Macaca fascicularis: one gene and its partners. The protein of the gene in region 1 binds, or shares a complex with, the protein of each later gene. Links are inferred from orthologs where the notes say so. Each region holds a gene or a part of one and is shown in the gene's direction. Other genes may lie near its edges.

Evidence for each region. The genes of interacting proteins can lie anywhere in the genome.
Region 2: the proteins of MAPK14 (region 1) and TAB1 are in contact, whole or in part, in a crystal structure (PDB 4LOP), measured with the Mus musculus proteins. The link is inferred for Macaca fascicularis from reciprocal best matches to the Homo sapiens genes MAPK14 and TAB1. Residues at the interface, in NP_036081.1 of Mus musculus: Gly110, Ala111, Asn115, Ile116, Cys119, Gln120, Lys121, Leu122, Thr123, Asp124, Asp125, His126, Phe129, Val158, Asn159, Glu160, Asp161, Cys162, Leu217, Thr218, Gly219, Arg220, Thr221, Leu222, Asn272, Val273, Phe274, Ile275, Gly276, Ala277; in NP_079885.2 of Mus musculus: Val385, Tyr386, Pro387, Val388, Ser389, Val390, Pro391, Tyr392, Leu405, Ser406, Leu407, Val408, Met409, Pro410.
Region 3: MAPK14 (region 1) and NOD2 share a complex: the UniProt entries of both Homo sapiens proteins name them as parts of the signaling complex. The link is inferred for Macaca fascicularis from reciprocal best matches to the Homo sapiens genes MAPK14 and NOD2.

The regions. Positions count from the first base shown.
Region 1 is NC_088378.1:135,569,845-135,573,584, reverse strand, and holds part of MAPK14 (mitogen-activated protein kinase 14), read left to right. Parts: intron 1-285; coding exon 286-365; intron 366-2,669; coding exon 2,670-2,748; intron 2,749-3,740. UniProt on the Homo sapiens protein: Serine/threonine kinase which acts as an essential component of the MAP kinase signal transduction pathway.
Region 2 is NC_088384.1:12,226,340-12,229,140, reverse strand, and holds part of TAB1 (TGF-beta-activated kinase 1 and MAP3K7-binding protein 1), read left to right. Parts: intron 1-805; coding exon 806-968; intron 969-2,801. UniProt on the Homo sapiens protein: Key adapter protein that plays an essential role in JNK and NF-kappa-B activation and proinflammatory cytokines production in response to stimulation with TLRs and cytokines.
Region 3 is NC_088394.1:46,666,480-46,670,219, forward strand, and holds part of NOD2 (nucleotide-binding oligomerization domain-containing protein 2), read left to right. Parts: intron 1-1,059; coding exon 1,060-1,165; intron 1,166-3,740. UniProt on the Homo sapiens protein: Pattern recognition receptor (PRR) that detects bacterial peptidoglycan fragments and other danger signals and plays an important role in gastrointestinal immunity.

The DNA.
Region 1 (3,740 bases):
CTAAAATATTTAACAGTAAAGATGATGCTAAAACCAAAGAAAAGTAATTTTTCTTATCTGCATGGCCAGTCACTGACTACATGCCTAGTTACTCATGTCATTCACAGAAGCGACTCATGTCATTCACAGAAGCTTTAACATGCAGCCTTGGGTCCTCGGGTAGGGTGAATGGGGGGTAGGTTTTTTTGTTTGTTTAGGGGTGGCTTTTTGACCTTTTTAAAAACTTGAGTTGAAAATTATTTTTTGCACTGTATGTTTAACAATGCCCTTGACTAGGCATCTAAGATATTAACCAGCTTCAGCAGATTATGCGTCTGACGGGAACACCCCCCGCTTATCTCATTAACAGGATGCCAAGCCATGAGGTGAGAACAAAGAGACTGTACAGGGATGTCGCACTGAGAAGCCACGTTCTCATTTTATTGCCACTGTATAACCAACAGTTTTTAACATCACTGGATGCTTGCATGTGCCTGGAGGCCTGCCTATGTGCTATTGCAGGATGTTGACTTTTGGGATAAAATGTCATCCAGTCTTGTGAGATTGGGGATGGAAAATTGTTATTTTTATATTTGGTTTTGTGAATTTAGTGCTCGTGAGGCGGTTTCTTTCTAGGTGCTATGCCTGTAGCTAGGGTGTGCTACTATCATGACCTTTATCAGAAGGGTAGTTAACTGAAGTCCATTAGCATGCTTTCTAATTCATCCACTTTTTTAATGACCAAAAGAGAATTCTTTATTTAAAAACAAAACAAAACAAAACTGAAATATCCAGTACTAATACATACTATATTTAAAAGAAAATACACAAATAATATAAAATAAATACAAACACTTTGGTACAGTTAGGTACCTTCTTTATTCTTAACTACTTAGTCTAACTCTTGTTTTATTATCAGAGGTCATTGGGGCACTTCTTTCTTTCTAAGATACCCTTAATATTTTAGGGAACCGGGTTGGCATCACAGAGAGCCCCTCCCAGCAACTTTGTTTCTACTTCGGCTATATTCAGGTCATCTGTTGATTTATCTTTATTAAAGGGATGACTGTTCTCTGAATGAGATAATTGTCTCTTACCTGTTTTCCCTTCATCTTTTTATTTACATGTTCAAGTAGAAAGGGATTACAGCCATTTATATATTCAATTCCTACAACTTTCTTTTCAAATCAGAAAGATTCTCAGTTGCTTTTCAAAGCAGACCTTTCCTCCTGACTCCACATGCAATCATTAAGAAGGTGAAGGCTGGGCGTGGTGGCGTGCATCTGCAATTCTCAGCACTTTGGAAGCTGAGATGGTAGGATCAGTTGAGCCCAGGAGTTTGAGACCATCCTGGGCAACACAGCAATACTGCAGGTCTACAAAAAAATTTAAAAATTACGGCATGATAGCACACGCCTGCAGTCTCAGCTACTTGGGAAGCTGAGGCAGGAGGGTTGCTGGAGTCAGAAGTTTGAGGCTATAGTGAGCTGTGATTGTGCCAGTGATCTCCAGCGTAGGCAACAGAACAGAGACTGTGTCTCTAAAAAAAATTTTTTAATAAATAAGGTGAACTTGCCCAAGCAACCAGATTTTGTTTTTGTTTTTGTTTTGTTTTAAGATAGGATCTCACTCTGTCACCCCAGCTGGAGTGCAGTGGCACAATCTTAGCTCACTGGAACCTCCACCTCCTGTGCTCAAGCTTCCTGGGCTCCATCTCCCTGCTCAAGTGATCCTCTTACCTCAGCCTCCCAAGTAGCTGGGACCACAGGCATGCATCACCATGCCTGGCTAATTTTTTGTGTTTTTAGAGACAAGTTTTCACCATGTTACCCAGGCTGGTCTCAAAGCCCTGGGCTCAAGTGATCTGCCCTCCTTGGCCTCCCAAAGTGCTGGGATTACAGGCGTGAGTCACCGTGTCTGGGCAACCAGAACTTTTTACAACCTTGTGTGTGTATGTGTAAACATAAATATACATACATACCTTTACTGTTGGACTGTATTAAAACAGAAATTTTAAAAAGGTGGTTAAGATAGACAGCAGACTTTGCTTTTCTCTGAAGGTGATAGTGGGATAGCAGATAATGTTTCTTGAACTCTCACTTGGAACCAAGTACTGTGTTAAGAAAGTACTAGGTTTGTTATCTCTAATCTTCACTCCAACCCTGTGAGGTAGGACTGTTATATTAAGTTTATATTAACTTTTTTGTTACCAGTGTTACTTTGTTAGCAAGGTTTAATATTGATGTCCTTTGATGTGCTAAGAGCACCTGCTGAAGTCAGCACTATCAAAAGACTGCTGGTCCAAGACTTACTTTGGGAATACCAACCCTTCTAACAATTTTAGCTTTTTGAGAAGGCTGTCTCAGAAAGGGCTACTTCTTACATATCTCGGCCTCAGTTTTTAAACTTCTCATCCTGTGATCAGAAAGCTGATGAAAGAGAATTTGATTGATGAGTATTCTCGTTCACTTGAAATGCAACTGTGAGAGATAGCAGGAATAAAGAAGGTGATGATCATAACTAGGAAGTTAGGATAGCAGTAAGGGAGAAGTTTTATCAAAGACAGTTATAAACATTGGAGTTAGTGGACTTTGTCAGTTAACACTCGTTCCTTAGCAGGACCAAGGTTCTTTCTTTGAGAGAAGTAACATTATTGAACAAAGTAATTCTGAAAACCCTTGTTTTTTCAGGCAAGAAACTATATTCAGTCTTTGACGCAGATGCCGAAGATGAACTTTGCGAATGTATTTATTGGTGCCAATCCCCTGGGTAAGTTGACAATATCCTCACCTCATGGATATTGAATTGGTTATGATATAAATTGGGGATATGAAGAAGAGTTTCTCCTTTTGACCAAATAACGTACCATTAGTTGAATCTTGGAAGGTGATAAATATGGCTTTTATTATCTATTTGTGTTGTCAGATTTTTTTTTAATTACATGAGATGCTTATATGTTTAAATGATCACAGACCTTGGGGTCGGGGGAATGGGCAGGTACAGTGGAGAAAGGAGAGAAAGTAATAGGAATGTTGAGATAAAGGATTGGAGAGGCAGGAAGAAGCAGATACAGAAGAAAGCTGTAGCTTGTTCACAACTGCTGTGGATTCATGGTGTCCCTGAGTGGAGGACAAAAACCACTGAAGTACAGGTGGGTGTTTAGAGGACCCACCCAGGAACTCCCTGCAGGGTGCTCTGCTCTGTCAGTAGCTGCCGTTGCTACAGATCCTGTCATCTTCCACACACATGAACTTTTCCCCTCCCTTATTCTTTCTCTGCCCCTTAGAGGTGTAACTATCCTCTCCTCTTTGTGGAGCTTATTTGCTACCTAAACTTAAAGAAATGGCTTCATATGCCTTCAAGATCCTTGGCAGAGGGAAGTGATGGTGGCAGTTGAAGATATGTGTTGCCTTGGCTAAAAATGCAATTGCTTTATTATTATTATTATTATTATTGTTATTATTTTTTTTGGTAGTGTCAGGGTCTCAGTCTGTTACCCAGGCTAGAGTACAGTGGCACAGTCATGGCTCACTGCAGGCTTAAACTCCTGGGCTCCAGTGATCCTCCTGCCTCAGCCTCCCACATAGCTAGGACTACAGGCATGCATCCCCATGCCTGGCTAATTTTTTAAAGAATTATTTGTAGAGACAGGGTCTCACCATCTACTAATCTTTGTCTCCTGGGCTCATGCAATCTGCCCACCTCAACTTCCAAAAGTGCTGGGATTCAGATGTGAGCCACCATGCCTGGCTGACTATATT
Region 2 (2,801 bases), on another chromosome or scaffold:
AGTGCCTACCATGTGCCAGGCGCACAGCCTGCATTATTCCCTTCGGTCCTCATGGGTAACCCTAAAGACAGGCGGTACCCCTGTTTTCCAGAGGGGGAATCCGAGGCTGAAGAATGAAGAGACCTGGAAGAGATGAGGCATGTGGACAAATGGTCAGGCCCCAGGGCCTGTCTGTCCCTGGGCTGCACTGGAGCAGGGCAGGGAGAAGGACGTTTTGCTTTCTACCTATGTCATTCTTCAAGTTCTCAGGAGAAGAGGCGGCTGCTTTCTCCCGTGCTCCCCGCAGTGCTGCTCAGCACTAAGACCTTCGGTTCCCGAGGGCTGCATTTCTTTTTCTTTGTTTTAAACAAGCAAACCTTAGATAAAGCTCAGGCATCCACAGACAGATTTGTTCTCCCATGGACACCAGGGTTATTGAAGTTTCTTTGGCCGTTGTTATTGCAACCATATTTTTATTGGGTCAGCCTCAACTGGGAGCAAACTTATCCTCTGGATTAAAGCATCCGTGGGAAGCCAGGCAGTAACCCTTTCCTTGAGGCAACTTGAGCACCAGCAGGCTTTACTGCTAGCTTTATTGCTACAAGGAGTTCTCAGCCCAGCCTGGAAGAGTCTCTGCCAAGGGACACTCCTCCTGAACTGTCCCAAGGGGCAGGGGGCCGCTCTGGGCTTGGGGAGCCAGGCATGGCCACCACCTACACTCAGCCCTCAGGCACCACCCCATCAGGCCATGGGAGCAGCTTTGCCCCTGTTAACCCGGGTGTCTCCTCAGCCACTGCCTGAGGCCCCCACTCTCTTCCTCCCAAAGCTGCAGGGGGACGAGTGTACCCTGTGTCTGTGCCATACTCCAGTGCCCAGAGCACCAGCAAGACCAGCGTGACCCTCTCCCTTGTCATGCCCTCCCAGGGCCAGATGGTCAATGGGGCTCACAGCGCTTCCACCCTGGATGAAGCCACCCCGACCCTCACCAAGTAAGTCCCTCCCCCACTTAGCCACCCCGAGCCCTGTCCCCCCATGGGTGCCCTGTGGCACCGGGACAGAAATGACCATGGGGCCAAGGGTTGTGGATAAGATGCCCTGGGGTCTGGAAGTCCCCAGCTCCATGCCTGGTGAGGGAGGTCTCCCTAGAAACTGAGGCAGGTGGGGTTTTCGGTCAGGTGGCTGATGGTCCCAGCCTACTTCTCGTATTTTCTTGTGGGCCGGTCTGCTGGTTTCAGTCAGTGGAAGGTTCTCTTTTCATTCCCCACCTGGGTGTGATGTGGGGTGGCTTCCTGTGATATGGGGTGACTTCCCTTGGTGTCCTTGCTTGGGGACATTGGCCTGTACTGGCTTGTCAGAGCCCGTGCTTTCTGGCTAATGTGCTTAAGTTTAGCTTTGAAGTGAGTTCTGTGGTTTCTGGGCAGGGGGCGAGGTAGAGACAGCAGCCTGAGGGGGTTGCAGCTAGGCCCCGTCCAGCCGCAGACCTGCCTGAGTACACCCCACCCCCTTCCCTTCCGTAGAATGTGCACCCCCCACACCAGGGGACCCAGATCTGGTTTCCACATTCCAGCCCTGCATGGAATGATAGAGATGCCACACCCAGCCCACTCTGAGGATGGAGTGTGCAGGATGTGGCCAATTAGAAAGGCCCTGGAGTGGGGTGGGTGGCCTGTTTACCTCTGCCTCATCAGGGGGCCTTCCTTTCCCTCTGCCTGTGAGTCGTGGATGCTGCGACTACTGCCACAGGGCTAGAAAGGCCTGCCAGACCGAGCAAGCTCCGTGGGCTTCCTGAGTGCAGTAGGGGTGGCCTATCCAGTACCCCTGCCGGGCTGCTTGGAGGAGTCCTCCAGCTGTGTCCACAAAGCAGAGTGGGACTGCTGTGGCCCTAGACAAGGCAGGACAACCCGCCCTCCTCCGCTGCCTATGTTCCTCACTCCCTTCAGCGTCTGAGCCATGGTAGTTGGTCCCACCATGGGCTAGCCCTCTGCTGGTGCTGGGCAGCGCTAACAGGCAGTTCCAGCTGTGACTTAAAGTGGGTGCCTGTCCCCACCCAGCTGATGAGAAGAGAGTGAAGGGGAGGGGGCGAAGGAAGGTTTTCTAGAAGACACCTTGCCCGCCCTGCTGAGTAGGGCCTGGGTTGGGAAGGGTTTAGAGAGATGGTAATGGACAGTCGGTGGCTCAGCTGCACCTGGGGAACTTCCTGTGATGGCGGGAGTGCTCGCATGGGTGCTGTCCTGTCACCGCGTCTCCAGCACTTGTGGCTATTAGACACTTGAACTGAGTGTTCCATTTTCTTTTTTTTTTTTTTTTTCTTTGAGACAGAGTTTCACTCTTGTTGCCCAGGGCGGAGTGCAATGGCAAAATCTTGGCCCACTGCAACCTCTGCCTCCCAGGTTCAAGCAATTCTCCTGCCTCAGCCTCCCAAGCAGCTGGGATTACAGGTGCGTGCCACCACGCACAGCTAAATCTTTTTCTATTTTTAGTAGAGATGGGGTTTCACCGTGTTGGCCAGGCTGGCCTCGAACTCCTAACCTCAGGTGATCCACCCTGCCTTGGCCTCCCAAAGTGCTGGGATTACAGGCATGAGCCACTGCGCCTGGCCCATTTTCTTTACCTTTAGTTCATTTAAGTAGCCACATGCAGCTGGTGCTTCAAAACTTGACTTTTTATCTCTTCCTAAGAGCATCTGGCTGGGCCAGCTCTTATGGTTGCCTCTGCCAGAAAGGCCTGTGGCCCAAGGGGGTGGTAGAGGCAGGGGCCATTCTATCCCCACACTGCCCCAGCCCCCTTGACCTGACTGCTTCTGATTGACTCCCTCTCCTCTT
Region 3 (3,740 bases), on another chromosome or scaffold:
GGTTCAAGTGATTCTCCTGCCTCAGTCTCCTGAGTACCTGGGACTACAGGCACATGCCACCACACTTGGCTAATTTTTTGTATTTTTAGTGGTGATGGAGTTTCACCACGTTGTCCAGGCTACTCTGGAACTCCTGACCTCAGGGGATCCGCCTGCCTTGGCCTCCCAAAGTGCTGGAATTACAGGCGTGAGCCACCAGGCTCGGCCATATTTTGCTATTTTCTACATGGATTACATGTTGCAATGGTAATGTTTGGACTATTGTGGGTTAAATAGAATATATGATTAAAGTGAATTCATCTATTTCTTTTAACTTTAAAACATATGTCTGTTAGAGGATTTGAAATTCCACATGCGGCTTGCATTTGTGCCCTGCATTTTATTTCTGTTGGACGGTGCTCTTTGGGACGTGCTTTGAAGGTGGAGTCAACAGGATTTGACAGATTACAGAGGAGAGACTTCGAGGGTGATTCCACGACTTCGGGGCTGAGCACCTGGAAGAATGGGGTTAATATTAGCCAAGATGAGGAAGGCTGTTGGTTTGGCAGGTGCGTGGGCAGGTTAGGAGTTTAGTTTTGAATATGTTGGAGGTGTTTATGAAACTTTTAAGTGGAAATGGAAACTAGGCAGTTGGATGCGTAAGTCCAGGGTTCAGGGGGACAGTTCAGGCTGGAGATGAAGATGTGGGAGTCTGAGCAGAGATTGTATTCAAATATTCAATCCATGAGACTTGATGAAATCACTTCTCTTCCAAATGGTGTACAGCCTACAGAATCATTTTCCCTATCTTTGTAGGTTTATGTCTTCATGTTGTTTCATTTATTTTTCAGTTATTCACTGTTTCAGTGAGTTTTGGGTAGGAGCCAGATTGGATGCGTGTGTTCAATTCACCATCCAACACTATTAACGACTTGAAACTTCTGTGGTTGTTCAGTTGCTTTTCTGACCTTTTATTCTGGACAGAAGAGAGATGCTTATGAAGTTGTAGTAATCAGTAAGCCTTCCCACACTGCTCCATCAGCCTTCCTGGAGGAACAATGTCTTCTGTCTTTCCCGTAGGCAAGAAGGCTGCTCGATCTTGCCACAGTGAAAGCGAATGGATTGGCCGCCTTCCTTCTACAACATGTTCAGGAATTACCAGTCCCGTTGGCCCTGCCTTTGGAAGGTAGGTATATGTTCTCAGTTAATCAGAAAGGGAAGGGCAGTCAGTGCAGATCCATGGTTAAGAGTAGAACACACCTCGGTTAGCGTCCCATATGCTGGCAGTGTAGCCTCCATGTGACTCAGTTTCCTTGTTTTAAGGCTACCACCACCCCCTATCTCATTGCAATTTTAGGAGGATTAAAAGGACAAAAGCGTGTGATGTTAGCTATTAGCTTTCATTATCTCCCACACAGTACACTGACAATTGGAGCTACCATATGCTGAAGGCTAACTAAAGGTGTTACTTACCATCCAAACTCTCGTTATCTGTACCAAAAAGATACGGACACGCGTTTTGAGTTAGGGCTGGTACCTCTTGATCTCTGAAATTTAGCAGCTCACAATCGGAAACTCAAGAACCAAGTGGATCTAGAGACTCTGGTATCCCTCAGTGCCCAGGGTCACCACCCAAACTCAGGAACAGGAGGAGCTTGGACAGCACCTCTTGAACATACCAGGCATCCTGCCGGGTGCTTTATGGACAATGTCTACCCTTTGCAACAACCCTGAGAAGTAGGTGGTGGTTTTTTCACCTTATAGATGTGGAAACTGGGCAGGGAGGTTAAGTGACAAGGGAGGGGGAGATGGGTCTGATTGTAAATTGTCCCCACCTACACTTTCTCTTTTCTTGGGAGAAGAAATGTCAGTTGTAAAGAGAGGGTGCAAAAGTCTGGCACTCTTTAGGGCTTGTTCCTATACCACTGTAGGGAAAGCTCATTGGCACTGAAGCTCCCTGAGCTGTGCGTGGTGCTGGCAGTTGGGTCTATCACCCTGGGCCCTGCCCTGTGGGCAGCAAGCAAACCTGTGGGAGGGGTGGCTGTAAGTCTGTGCCTGGCACTCGCGAGTGCACTGTCTCGTCAAAGAACGGGATCTAAACATCAGTGCACCACAGGGGGGTTGAGCAGCATGGAGCGCGGGGCCTGGTTTGGCCCTTGGTTGAGGTTTGCCGTTGATATCATCAAGCACAGCTGGTCACTGTAAGACCAGGCCAGGGTGCAGGATTCCCCACACTTCTAAAGGTGTGTTTATTTCTCTATAAAATGACATTTTCTTTTTTTCCGGAGAATTTTAGTATCATTGGTGATGGCTGGAAAGCCTGCATTGGAAATCAGGTCGGAAGAGGAAGATATATATCTGATATGTATTGGAGAGGAAGATATTTACCTTATGGTCTAAGTTCAGGGATCCTGGTGTATTCAGAGGGCAGAAAGCTCAGCAATAATCATCAACTCTGGGAACAACAGAGGTGACGTAAACACAGGGCGTCCCCTTTGTGTGACTGCAGATAGTCGTCAGTGAGCTCAGAGCTCTCTGAAAATTACTTGTTAGTTTTTGGGTTGAAAATAAGTGGGCCAGTGTTTGGTTGGGGGCAGTGAGGCTGTGATGGCGGGGGACCGTGCTGAGTTCCTACCAGCCGGGGACTCTAAACCAGCACTTCCCCGTTTCCTGAAAGGGGAACTAAACCCTGACACAGGAAATGGCTCGCTCGCATTGCTTTCAGGATGAGAAAGGAAGAGCAGTAGCCTTCCAAACACACCCTGTGCATGAAAACTCTCCCTGCATGGGGTGCATGGGGAGGATGAGGAAGTGGAGGCAGGATCACAGACTCTCATTCTAGTGCTCAGCTGGGGCACCCTGGTGACCCCGAGGCCTTCTATTGCTAGGCCCACCCAGATCAATCAGGCTCATCTCCCCATCTCGAAGTTTAACTTTATCACATCTGCAGAGTTCCTTTTGCCACATAAGGTAACATATTCACAGGTTCTGAGGATCGGGACACGGACATCTTCGAGGGTCTATTGTTGTGCCTACTATAGCCATGAATAATAATGATAATAAGCACCATTTTTTGAGAGTTTGCCATGTCAGATATTCTTTTAAACTCTATTTTATCTCACTGCCTCCTGAAACAATCCTTCCAGGTGTATATTGTCCCCATTTTTACAGATGAGAGAACTGAGGCCCAGAAAGGCTAAATGGCTTGCCCAAGTGTGTGGTGGACGCAGGTTTTCACGCTCCGGTGTGTCAGACTTCAGAGACTGGGCTCCTGAGCCCTGAAGCCCTTTGTTCCCCTTAGAAAAAGTTAACTGAGAGTGAATGGTGAAGGGATTTATCCAAAGCCACCTGGCCATTATGGCAGGACAGATATCAGAATACAGGTCTTCTGATCCCAGCCTAGAGCCCCTTCCCATCATCTACAACTCCTCCTGGTGTGAGTAATGATAACGGCAGTCACTGATGTCTTTGGACTTACTTTGTGTTGAGCACTGTGCTGAGCACTTGACATACGTCATCTTAGTTGATCCGTGTAAAAAGTCTGTAAGGTAGAGATCAACATTTCTCCCACCTTACAGAGGTGGAAACTGACCGTTAGGAAGTTTCCTTGATTGTCCTCAAAGTCCACAGCTTGTGAATGGAGGAGCCAGGATGGGCGCTTGCTGGCTGTCCTATCCCTTCAGTTATGTCAGCTTCCCCCACAGCAGCCCACTGTCTGATTAGGTCCCCTCTTCACCATGGTGCCACCTTCATCTGCCTCT